2 linked regions of the Drosophila melanogaster genome follow. The protein of the gene in region 2 purifies or fractionates together with the protein of the main gene of each other region. This does not show direct contact. Each region holds a gene or a part of one and is shown on either strand. Other genes may lie near its edges.

Region 1 (6,588 bases), on a different chromosome or scaffold from region 2:
GTATATCGAACCGCAGACGGTAATTAAGGGTCCTGCATAAACATTTATCACTTTAATTCAGGTAATCCATAAACCGCTCTCCAATATAAAAACCTGTGCATGCCGGCTTTTTCCATTTCCACGTGAACGATAGGTGGTTCGACTACATAACAATGTCCCGCGCCTCCCAGTAAGCCCAAAACCAAGGTGAACAGTAAGCACTGGTTATTTCCCTTGGAATGCATTTTTTGCAAACTAACTTATATTAAAAGCGACTGAAGTAAATTGTAAATAAAAACATTTGGACCAGGGCTGTCGCGTAACTAAAATTTATTCAGCGTTGCCATATCAATTACATACTAAAAATACGGTAAATTTAAAATAGCTTTTCAACCATTTTTCTGCTTATACAAGGCGGATCCTTGCCGCGCCAATTTGTCTGCCATTTCATTGCCCTCTATGCCCTTGTGGGCCTCCACATAGTTCTGGGGATATTAACTGAAGTCAAGTATTTTCCAGGACCTTATTTAAATTTAGTTACGCACCCATTTCACGGTGATGTTGTTCTCCTGAAGCAGTTTATCCAGTTCCTTGAAGTCAACAACGTTTTTAACAGGCTGATTGTTCTTTAGCTTCCAATCCCTTTTTTTCCAACCCGCAACCCACAGCGTTATGGAGTTGATCAAAAACTGAGAGTCTGTGCTGATGCACAGCTTCTGTATTCCCAAGTCAAGAGCTGTTTTAATGGCATGAATGGCCGCTTGTATTTCACCTACATTATTTGTAACGCGTCCTTCCACGGGCTTGGCTGCGTTTCTGCAAAGAACATATAGGTTAAAAGCAAAGTTATTGTGCTGCAGTTACCACTTACAGCTGGTGATTCTTGCCGAAATAAACGCCATAGCCGGCACAGGCTCCGGCTCGTCCGTTGCCTATGCAGGAGCCATCTGTGTACACAATGACATAGCCCTCTGCATCGATTTCAAACTGGAAGGCACCCACTTGCTTGAGTCCTGTGGCTTCTGAGACCTGAGAGGCATGACGTGGGATCTTGTTCCGCTTATCGCCGCTGGTTGTGCCCTTCCGCTTGCGATTGAGAATGTCTGGCTGAAAGAAGCTATGTTTAACTTTTTCTACAGTATGTACTACGGTCTCATACTAAATTGCTACTGTTAGATGGCTTTGGATCTCCCTCAACCTCGTTCATGGCAGCATTCTGAAAGGATGAAAGGTCAGGACTTTGCAAACGTATGTATATTCATGCCTACCAGATCATCCTCGGCTAGGTCGTGATCCTCTTCGGGCCACTCATCTGTGTACTTGGGGTTCTTATTCACTTCGATACTGTTTTTCCAACTGGCCAGTGACGCCTTTTCCTTGCCCAGCGGCACGGCCACATCCTGCGGAGCATACGACTTGCAGCCATTAACGAACTGATCCGCTTCCTGGCGTGTCTTAAACTTCTTGTATTTGGCGTTCTTGAAACCCTTGACCTGCTCCTCGCACTCTGCCCAAGAGCCGTAGACTCCAGACCGCCGCCCACTGGCTACAGCGTAAAACGCCATCGTGCAGCGTTGGAGGTTCCAGCAAAAATACCGCGGAAGTAACATAATTTTCTTACGTTGTCTATCGAAACATATGTGGCACGGCCTTGCCGGATGTGCGAATGTAAACAAACCGGTCGAGTTGCCAGATCATTCGAATCGCGGTAAAAGGTGTGGGTGGAAAAAAGTATAATTGTGGATTTTGCCAAAGATTTTCCCAAAACTTTTCGCCATGTACCAGCCGCCTTTGCCACCGCCTCCAGTCCAGCCTGCTCCTCCGCCCCCGCCACCTCCGCCAGAAGAAGATCTATCTCCACCGGGAGTAGGTGTTCCCTCTCACAACTATTCTTCAAATGAATCCCATTCTCAGAGCTCGAAGTCTTTGGATTACGTCTACCCGGAGACACCGGCTCCTTATGCCAGCTCAGTACCTAGCTATGATCCGTACCAGCAACCACCAGCGTACGGCTACGAGGGATATGCTTACAACGAACAAGCACAGAAGTATGGTGGCCAGGAGTCCCATTACCAATACCAGTACCCGGCATCCGGATCATCATTCCTCTATGAAAGCTATAAATACCCAGACCGCTATCCTGCTTATTCGTCCAACTACCGACCTCCATCCGAAAGGCAGAGGTACACTTCCAACAGCTCCAGTCAAGGCTACCACCATTATCCCGGCTATAGCTCGGGTAGGCGGTATGAACAAAGACATGATCAGGAACACCGTCAAATTCAGGACAGTCGATATGCCCACGAGCCACGACACGGACACTATGCCCACAGGCAGGCAAAGGGGTCGCAACACGGATACTATGGATCTGCAGCCAGAAACCAAGTCAGCGATGACTATTCGCCACGTGGCCATCACGAAAGGGAGAGAAATGAGACCTTAGAGAAGACTAGGGCCAAACCGAAGGTGGAGACCGAAAGGGACCGTCTGTTGAGACAGTGGTGTTCTAACTTCTGCGAAAAACCAGAGGACTATGTGAAGAAGATGAACGCCCTCAGCGAGGCGGATGCGCCAGTCGAATCCTGGGTGCGATCATCGCCAGCGGAGCTCTACTACGAGCGCACCAAGAGCGAAAACGAAGTCAGAGGTCGGGCGCGTCTGCAAAAGCTGTGCACTCTATTCGATGAGGAGCTCCTGCAGAGAGCAAAGCGTGTACGCGAGAAGCTACCCGTTTACGTGCCGCCTCCAAGAAAGGCTCGCCGCCGTGTTTGCAAGCATAAACACAAGTCGGAAGCCTGCTCCTCGTCCTCCTCATCCGATGACGACTCCGACGAAGACGCTTTTAAGATCGAGCAAGACTGCTGCATGGAGGAGCTTTCGCGCAAGGTGCAACATCCGCAGCGTGTGCACGCGGATCTCTGGCACAACGACGCCGGTGAGATGAACGACGGACCTCTTTGCCGCTGCTCAGCCAAGTCCCGGCGCATTGGCATTCGACACGGCATATATCCGGGCGAGACTGGCTATAAGTTGTGCGATCCAAACAGCAACAATGCAGGCAAGCTGTTCCACTACAGGATCAGCATCTCACCGCCCACTAACTTCCTGACAAAGACACCCACCATTATCAAGCATGATGAGCACGAGTTTCTATTCGAGGGCTTCTCACTTCTCTCGCATGTGCGTCTCTCCGATCTGCCCGTCTGCAAGGTGATCCGCTTCAACATCGAGTACACCATTGAGTACGAAGAGGAGAAGATGCCAGAGAACTTCACCATCCACGAGCTAGACATTTTTTGTAAGTAAAATTGAGATTTTTCTTTATAGGCATTACTTACATCTTATCTCAATTTCAGTCAAATACCTGTTTCATGAACTGCTAGAGCTGGTAGACTTTAATCTAATGCCCAACTTACCGTCCGGAAACGTCGAGGAATCCTGCCCAGCTTTTCACTTCTTTCCGCGTTTCGTCCGCGACCTGCCAGATAATGGAAAGGAGGTTTTGGCCATGGTCGAGGTACTCCGCTACTTGCTGGATAATTCTGCACAGCTTGTGGAACGGCAGCAACTACTGCATCTTAACCAGATTAGTCAGAGCGAGTGGCAAAACTACGTGGACTTCATAAAGGGAATGCTGGTCACCAAGCCGGGTTATAAGCCGTGTTCGCTACGCGTTGACCAATTGGACAGGAATAACTCCGATTTGCCCGAGTGCGTAGATCGCGAGACTGGAATCTCACATCCAGCAATCGTGCACTTTGGCATTTGTCATCCTCAGCTAAGCTACGCTGGAAATCCAGAGTACCAGAAGGCGTGGCGAGAGTACGTTAAGTACCGTCATCTGATGGCCAACATGTCGAAGCCCTCTTTCAAGGATAAGCGCAAGCTAGAGGAGAAGGAGCAACGTCTTCAGGAGATGCGAACTCAGGGGCGCATGAAACGAAATATCACAGTGGCGATCAGCTCGGAGGGCTTCTATCGCACCGGCATTATGTGCGACGTTGTGCAGCATGCCATGTTGATTCCTGTCCTAACTGGTCACCTTCGCTTTCACAAGTCGCTGGACCTGCTAGAGGAGAGTATCGGGTACCGCTTTAAAAATCGGTACCTTCTCCAATTGGCGCTGACGCATCCCTCATACAAGGAGAACTACGGTACCAATCCGGATCACGCCCGTAATTCGCTGACTAACTGCGGAATTCGTCAGCCGGAGTACGGAGATCGCAAGATCCATTACATGAACACACGCAAGCGGGGTATCAACACATTAGTGAGCATTATGTCCAGATTTGGCAAGGAGCATGAGACTGTTTCGAACATAACCCACAATGAGAGACTAGAGTTCCTCGGTGATGCTGTAGTAGAATTCCTCAGCTCAATCCATCTGTTTTTTATGTTCCCTGAACTGGAGGAGGGTGGTTTGGCCACTTACCGAGCGGCAATTGTCCAAAACCAGCACTTGGCTCTGTTGGCCAAAAAGCTGCAACTGGAAGAGTTTATGCTGTACGCACACGGATCCGATCTGTGCCACGAGTTGGAACTGCGTCACGCCATGGCCAACTGTTTTGAAGCCCTAATGGGCGCGCTTCTATTGGATGGTGGAATCAAGGTGGCAGATGAGGTGTTCACGGATGCACTCTTCCGGCAGGACGAGAAACTGCTGAGTATATGGAAGAATCTGCCGGAGCACCCGTTGCAGGAACAGGAGCCACTTGGGGATCGCAGCTGTATTGATTCCTACCGTGTGCTTAAGGAGTTAACCAAATTCGAGGACTCTATTGGAATCAAGTTTAAGCACATTCGGCTTTTGGCTCGCGCTTTTACCGATCGCTCCATTGGTTTCACCCACTTGACCCTTGGGTCAAATCAGCGTTTAGAGTTCTTGGGCGACACAGTGCTGCAGCTGATTTGCTCGGAGTACCTATATCGTCACTTCCCTGAGCACCACGAGGGCCACTTGTCCCTGCTACGATCCTCATTGGTCAATAATCGCACTCAAGCGGTGGTTTGCGATGATTTGGGAATGCCGAAATATGCCGTGTATGCCAATCCCAAGGCTGATTTGAAGACCAAAGATCGTGCCGATCTGCTGGAGGCATTCCTCGGCGCCCTGTACGTGGACAAGGGTCTCCTGTATTGTGAACAGTTTTGCCATGTATGTTTGTTCCCGCGACTTCAGTTGTTTATCATGAATCAGGACTGGAACGATCCCAAGTCGAAGCTGCAGCAGTGCTGCCTCACACTTCGCACAATGGATGGCGGCGAGCCGGACATTCCCTACTACAAGGTGGTGGAGGCCAGTGGTCCAACTAATACGCGGGTATACAAGGTGGCCGTTTATTTCCGCTCAAAGCGGCTGGCCACTTCAAGTGGCTCCTCCATTCAGCAGGCGGAGATGAACGCCGCTAAGCAGGCGCTGGAGAATTCAAGGGACCTGTTTCCCCAACTGGATCACCAAAAGCGCGTGATCGCCAAGAGCATAAAGAAACAAACGGGCAACGAATTGGACAACGACAGTGATCGCCAGCATCAAGAAGAAAAAATCAAGCGGCCCAAATATGCGACACCGCTTCAGGATGAGAGCCATCTTCCTAAGCAATATCGCATGCACGAGAACATTTCCAGCGATGAGTTGCCGGAAGACGAAGACTTCGAAAGCACTGCTCCCAAGAGTCCAACAAGTAAGTTAATAGATACGGTGTGCTGTGATTAATAGGTATCTATAGGTATCCTTTTCGTTTCTAGTGCCCTTAAGAAGTAACAGAAGTGGCAGTAGTAGCAGCAGCAGCAGCAGTGATAGCGATGGCTCAACCTCTTCTCCGAAGTGCAAGCGCCGATTAAAGAAATGTTCCTCGGTGTCTTCAAAATCTTCGCTGGGATGAACAGCTTTGCGTATGCTATAGCTATAGGAGGCCCAAATTGAGTAAGACAATCGTGGGAGCGGTGTAAAAATGTAATGGGTTATCTTAATGAATCGCTCATTTAGTAGATGCAATTCTCCCCTTTGCTATCAGGACATCTTACTTTCTAAGTAAGATGTTAGAGGACAAAAATTTGCCTGTCTCTAATTGTCGCCTAATTAAAAATACCATTAAAGCAACAAATAAAATAACCGAGTCGAATTTTGGGAATTTTGGTTTTTAGCCAATTTAAACTTAACACGGTTGCCCTTCGCACAATATTGTAAACAAAGCGAAATGATATCCAATGGAGGCGGTCTCACACCCAGCGCTATTTGAACAAGGAAAGCCTACGTCCCAGCCCGGTACGTCCTGAACCACTGACCGCGTTGGTGATGTGGCTCATCTCGGGAAGATTGTGGATGTCGCCGCGGGCGGCCACAGAAGGCGGCGAGCTCAGGAGACGTTGAGCAACGCGTTGGATATCGGCGGCAGTTACACTTTCTGTAATATGAATTAACGAGTTAAATGATAGCATTAATTGATTAATTAAGATGCTTTTACCAATTTCCTTGATAAAATGCTGCGGTCGTTTTCGCTGCCCCGTCACCAGCACTTGGCGGCCCACGTCCTCGAACACAACGGGTCTCGACTCCAGGTTCATTAGTAACATGGACTGAAGCTGGATCTTCGAGCGCATTAGCTCTTC
Region 2 (6,287 bases):
AACCTCTTCGAGGAGCCCAATTCCGTAATGCTGCACCAGATCGAGGTTCTTACTGGTTTGTTTGTGAGTACCTTTCTATTTTTGTGTTTTCAAACTTAAGTCTGGATTATCCGTAGTTGCTCGGCGGACCCGGGAACGAGCTGCCCCCCTTTATTTGCTCACCCTGCGAATTGGACCTGCAGACGGCGATTGCTTTCCGGGAACGTGTGATTCGAACCCAAAAAACGCTGCAGGAAAGTCCCAACCTGGGGAACGCGGAATTGATCGAATCCTTCGCAGTTGGTGTGGAGAAGGAGATTCAGTACGCTGAAGAGGTCACCGAGATCGAGGTTATAGACCTTCTACCCGAGGAACACCTGCTGGAAGAGACGGAAGAGCCGTACGAAATATGTGAGCAGAACGAGCAGCCCCAAGTGAAGGTTCCTGCGCAGGAGAAGAAGCTCCGCAGAAGTACAAAGACCACGCCCACAGTCTTTACCTCCGTTAAGTTTGCGGACAATAGCCAGGCCACGCGCACCCAGTGGAGCAGACTCACCGAGGACGAAGTGGTGGCCCTAAAGCGGGAGCGACGCAAGCGGGATTGCATATGCGAGCAGTGTGGCCGGCACTTCACCTGCCCCAGCAACTTCAAGTTGCACCTCCTCCGACACACCGGCGTAAAGAGCTTTGCCTGTGACCAGTGCTCCCAGCAGTTCTACACTGCTACGCTTCTGCGGCGCCACCAAGAACTGCATGCGGGGAATGCTTTGTTTCAGTGTCGCTACTGCGAGGCAACCTACAGCAACGCCAGCGGACGCATCCAGCACGAACGCATGTACGACAGAACTCGTTCCCATTCATGAAACGTCTAATGCTTTTCACATATTTCTGACCACTTTCCATTTCATCAGGCGCCACACGAATGTCAAGCCCTTCACGTGCAAGGAATGCAATAAAAGCTTTGCCATGAGCGGAAAACTCCGCACGCACATGCTGAGTCACACCGGAGTGCGAGCGTTCCAGTAAGATCTTAGTTACCTGAAGTTTTATTGAGGATCCTTGACTCTGTTTATCTGTTTTTCAGCTGCGACTCCTGCCAAGTCTCCTTCGTTCGCCGCTCCCACCTGACCTCCCACTATCGCTCAAAAGGTCACGCCCACACTTCAAGCGCCCAGGCGGCACTGGACAATCCTGTGGAACTGGACGTGAAGGCCAGTAACGGCATGCAGACAGGGGCTAAGGATGAGGCTTTACTAGGAAAAAGTGGATCTTAGGATAAACTGTACTAAAAATCAATGGATCCCCGATCTGATATTCGGATTAATACTCAATGCACTTAATATTAATCGAAAATGGAATATGTTCAAATATGGCTGTGTTGAATAAAAACTGATTTTTTCAAAATGGCCAATAGAGATTACCTTACTTAGGCTGCGCACTAATTTTTAGTTACATTATTTTTATGTTTTAAAATATAATAAAATCTAAATTCGAACATTGTTTACCGGCTTGGGGAGTAGCCAGCATTTTAAAATGTCATGAGCCTGGTCACACTGTCTTGCACTAAATAAATTAGGGGGCGTCTTTAAATTGCAAAATTTCTTGCAAAATCAGTAGAAAAGTGCTTGGAGCTGCTGTTACAATAGATCCTAAGACCAAACGTTCTTCTCCGGAGGATAATACCTGGAACCATCACTAACCCCAATTCAAAAGTGTCAATCTGTTTCCGCAAAACTGCATGTGGTGTTTGTTTCGCTTGTTTGGTTATTTTTCCCAACTAACATCCTCTCTCTAAAATCTCGATTTCGTACTTGAATTGCGCAGCTTTTGCTTTGGGATTTTGTCCGACAATTAGGCAGAATCCATAGCGAAAGACGCAGCAAGTAGCATCGTTTACAATCCGCGAAAGTGCAGTCGCAGAATTTTCCGGCGGGGCTTCTGGCTTAACCAATGTGGCACTTCCAATGAGAAATCAATTGCAAGGCGTTGGATGCTCTCAGTATTGGTTATTGGCGAGATTGGCCCCGGGACAGCATTACTAGACAGTTCCGATCAGTCCGCACTAAACCCCTCCCGCTTTAGACACACACATCCAATACAATGGCGGAGAAGCCGCTGGCCGACTGCCCGGACTCTGGGCAGGTCCGCAAGCGTCCCCGGCTGGAGGACGAGGAGCAGGAGCTCAAGGTGGCCGGCTTTTCGCTGAGCGCCATCGAGGAAATGCGGCGGACCAGGGACAACGAGCTGCAGAACGAACCCATGGACCAGCAACTGCGACAGTTCCAGGTTCTCGACGAAGTCGGCTCTGGCAGCGATGAGGATGATGAGTCAGGTGAGTCGGAAACGAAGCTCGGATATTCACTCAGGTCATCCAGATCACAGGCTGTGCAATTACCACCTTTTGTTTCACAGTGCAGGCGCAGTTCTTATCTCAAGATCTTGGGGGCCTATCATTGTGCAAATACAGGAGGCTGATAAAAGAGTCAGCCGGCAGGTTAAACCCTGATATAGCAGCTTCAGTTTTCCTTTATCTTATTGTAAGGCAGGTGGTGGCAGTTTTGTGCGGACAGTTCCATGCGCATGATACCCATTATCCGACTGGCTTGTCCAGTTGCGTCAGGTAGAGCCAGTAATAATGAAGGATCACTTTAATTAAACATCAAAGAGCTAGACAATTAGGTGCCAATGGCATTCATTCAAATATTCCGTGAAGATGGCCATCAACTTCGCGGCTGGTTTTCCATTTCCCAGACAAACAGACAACTTATTTATCCGTGATTGTATCTCCTTACATGGCAACCAGACAACGCTAGCGAGCAGCAGGGCGGAAGGTATGGAGAAGGAGGCGACGAGGAGGAAGAGGCGGCTGATGGTGACGGCGAAGAATACGATTCCTCGGAATTCGATGATGACGAGATCGAGAATCTGCTGGACGAGAAGCTGCCCGAAGAGCTCCGCGAGTCAAAGCAGCCCAAATACGAGCAGCGTTTCAAGACTGTGCTGGAAGGTCAGTGCTTTTCGTCGAACCAAGTGTCCAAGATGACGAGTATTTTAATGTGACTACTCTTTTAGAAAAGCGCCTCAACCACTTTGAAGTCCTACCCGAGGGATGGGTGCAGGTGACCCACAACAGTGGAATGCCGCTCTTCTTGCATCGCAAAACTCGCGTCTGTTGCGCATCGAGGCCCTATTTTCTCGGCACTGGAAGTGCCCGCAAGCATGCAGTGCCCTTGGGAGCAATCCCCTGTCTTAACTACAGGCGGGCTTTGGAGGAAGAGTCGGAGGTGGAGCAACAAAAGACGGATGGAGCGCCGCCAGTGGCTGTATGTCCCATGGCCGGAGCTTCCGCTTTACCGGCCGAAGCCATGGACGTGGAGGGAAAAGAGAACAACGAAGGCAGCACCGATTCCAAAACCCAACCAGATGGAATAACTGCCCTTATGCCGGCTGCTAAAATTGTTACGGTCAACGAGAATACCCAAAAGGAATCCATTACACCGGAGCAACTAAACACCTACTGCCAGAAACTCTTCAAATTCAAGGTGATTCGTGTGCTGCGATTTCGGAGTTGGAATGCTCGCCGCAAGTTCACCAAAAACCGCAAACACATCAAGAATATTCAACGACCCACGCTGCCGGATGGCACTAAGCTTATTAAGTTCCCAATACTAGCGAATGCTGGCGAAGGATCAACGAACCCGCGCGGTCGGAAGGAGTGGATCATGAATCCCAATGGCAAGAGCTTCGTCTGCATCCTGCACGAGTACGTGCAGCATGCTCTGAAAACGCAGCCCACCTATGAGTTCAAGGAGCTCCAAAACGCAGCCACGCCTTACTCCGCCACCGTATCGGTGAACAATCTCAAGTATGGCACGGGCTATGGCACCAGTAAAAAGCAGGCCAAGTCAGAGGCGGCTCGGGAAACGCTGGAAATACTCATTCCCGATGTCAAGGACAAGATAACGGGCAACAATAAGGACCAAAAGAGCGGCACTGCGAAGAAAGCGCAGAGCGATCTGTCTGTAAGCAATCTACCTATAGAAAATGGAACCACTTCTTATTTTTATATTTCTTGCAGGTTTTCGATGACATCCGCATCGAAGATCCCCGAGTCACCGAATTCTGCAACAAGACGACGGAGCCATCTCCCAACGCCATTCTGCTGACTTGCTTGCAGCGCAACTACGGCAGCGATGTTCAGATCAGCCAGGAGATCAACCGCACCGCGAATAACAAGAACGAGTTTACCATGACCGTGGGCAAACATACTGCCAAAGTGGTGTGTAAAAACAAGCGGGAGGGCAAGCAGTTGGCTTCGCAAGCAATCCTCCAGGTGAGCATTGATATTTCTTTATAACTTTACTTATAGCTATTGAGTTAACCTTTCGTCAGATTTTGCATCCGCACATCCAGACCTGGGGTTCCTTGTTGCGCCTCTACGGCAACAACTCCATAAAGACCTTCAAGGAGAAGAAGCTGGAGGAGCAGGAGATCACCGTGCTGCAGAGCAAGGCGGCAGTCAACCAACCCAACTACGCCATACTGGACAAACTTAAATCCGAGATGTTGAAACTGTGTGCCAAGCAGGAGAGCGTCCTAACCATGGGCACTTTTGTGCCGCCAAGCGACGTCGATCTGCCCACTTCCTCCGGGTCCAATTTGAACAACGTGGAACTTTGATTGGGAAACACACATCTCTCTCGCCAACATTGATTCTCTAGTAGTGCATGACAACCTCCTAGTCTCTTAGTTACCCACCCATTTCCATATTCGAAAAGCTAATGACAACAACGACGCGTTCTCTAGAGGCATACGAACTGATTTCAAATCGGCTTCATCTATCTGAGCTGGTTAATCTGAAGTGGCTTTAGCAAGTGGCCAAAAATGAAGAACAATTGCCTATCAAGTGGTTTTACATTAAGGTAAATTCATCACTAAATTTGCCAAATATAAGTAGTTCATGCTTGCAATAGCTAAGATTAGGGGTTCAATTTCACTTGTATAATATAAGCTTGAATAAAATACTATTAAAAACGCAGTCCTTTATATTTGAGTATAGAGATGTTCGTCTAAGATCTTTATCTGCAATACCAATTAAAAAAGTAGAGTTCTTAAGTATTTGACAACTATTCATTTGGGCAGACAGCAGGACAATTATTTGCTCATGATTTGTTTATCAAATTTCCTCGTAAATCTTCTCGTATCGCTTTCATTCTTGGAACGTTCAAACACCATTGACCCGTAACCAATTTGGAAGACATTTTAAAAAGTCGTATGGAATATAAAAAAATGCATATTTACATGGCCATTAGGATTCTCGGGTGTTTTTAGGCGGTCGGTCGTTAGGTGAGTGGATGTTAATATTTAAGGCGGTGGGCAGGGTGTAGGTTCGTAGGTGTGTGTGCGTGCAATTATTTAAAAGACGATGCAGTCATAAATTATGCTACATTTTCATTTCATTCTAACGTTTCCTTTTTTATAGCATTCCAACGAGCGTGGCACACACACATACCCACCACGGAGAATGCGGAGAGACAGTCGCAGAGAGAAAGTCCGAGAGAGAGAGCGCGGGAGAGCGGCGCAGGCGCAGATCCCGGATTTTGCGCAGCAGCCATGCTGCGAGATGAATTGTGGCGAGTTCTGACTTGCCAATTCGCAGGCCATATCTGTATCTTCAGTACGGATTCTTCGCGTGGCGAGAAAACCACTTCCCGGCGCTCCTATCCTCAGGACTTTCGTCTGGGATTTGTAATTGAATCACAGTAACTCGGGACAGACCGAAAAAAAAAACGGGGAGAAAAACAGAAAGCCAAGAGGTGAATTCGGTGGTACAGCTGAAAAAAGGCCAACTGCAGTGCAGAGCAGAATCATTTTTATTGACATTCATCTTAGTTGCCCCCTCATCCCTCGGTGCCCCCAAAAAAACCAACTTCATAGCCCCCCAGTTCCTCGATTCTCGACTCTCGACGTTCGATTCCCGGTGCTCGTGTGTCGCGTGTTGCAAGTGCGTGGGTCGCGCGTCAAATCAGTGGATGTAGCAAGCGGTACGACACGCGCGCCGTTTTTGATTTTTCGCCCAGCGGCCCAGAAATCGGGCCTGGGAAAAAAGTGCGGATATTCGGTGAAAGACGGAGCACTCGGAAAATAAACGGAAAATCGGGTACACACACGCACTCCTGTACACCGTGTCCAATGCATTTGGCCCGCTTGGCCCAAGCACTCGGAGATATGTAAATTATGCCAAATTCCATTGGAATTTCCGTCAGAGCCAGTGAATCGGTAAGCAGCAGCCGCCGGAGCAGCAGAAG

What was found. The genes of interacting proteins can lie anywhere in the genome.
Region 1: the proteins of pasha (region 2) and drosha purify together in Drosophila melanogaster (affinity purification with western blotting; 4 studies listed by BioGRID, with this or other methods). This does not show direct contact.

The regions. Positions count from the first base shown.
Region 1 is NT_033778.4:7,930,761-7,937,348, forward strand, and holds drosha (drosha), read left to right. Parts: upstream 1-1,668; 5' UTR 1,669-1,755; coding exon 1,756-3,277; intron 3,278-3,335; coding exon 3,336-5,660; intron 5,661-5,724; coding exon 5,725-5,861; 3' UTR 5,862-6,080; downstream 6,081-6,588. Other genes in the region: PIG-X (phosphatidylinositol glycan anchor biosynthesis class X), read right to left, coding at 1-50, 94-116; rnh1 (ribonuclease H1), read right to left, coding at 369-464, 525-795, 851-1,086, 1,139-1,195, 1,248-1,589; CG8728 (uncharacterized protein), read right to left, coding at 6,211-6,383, 6,444-6,588.
Region 2 is NT_033777.3:31,616,459-31,622,745, forward strand, and holds pasha (partner of drosha), read left to right. Parts: upstream 1-1,969; 5' UTR 1,970-2,079; coding exon 2,080-2,311; intron 2,312-2,530; exon of another isoform or gene 2,531-2,553; coding exon of another isoform or gene 2,554-2,599; intron 2,600-2,782; coding exon 2,783-2,986; intron 2,987-3,051; coding exon 3,052-4,001; intron 4,002-4,057; coding exon 4,058-4,312; intron 4,313-4,371; coding exon 4,372-4,659; 3' UTR 4,660-4,901; exon of another isoform or gene 4,902-5,016; intron 5,017-5,461; 3' UTR 5,462-5,759; downstream 5,760-6,287. Other genes in the region: CG1792 (uncharacterized protein), read left to right, coding at 1-63, 117-814, 891-1,001, 1,064-1,253.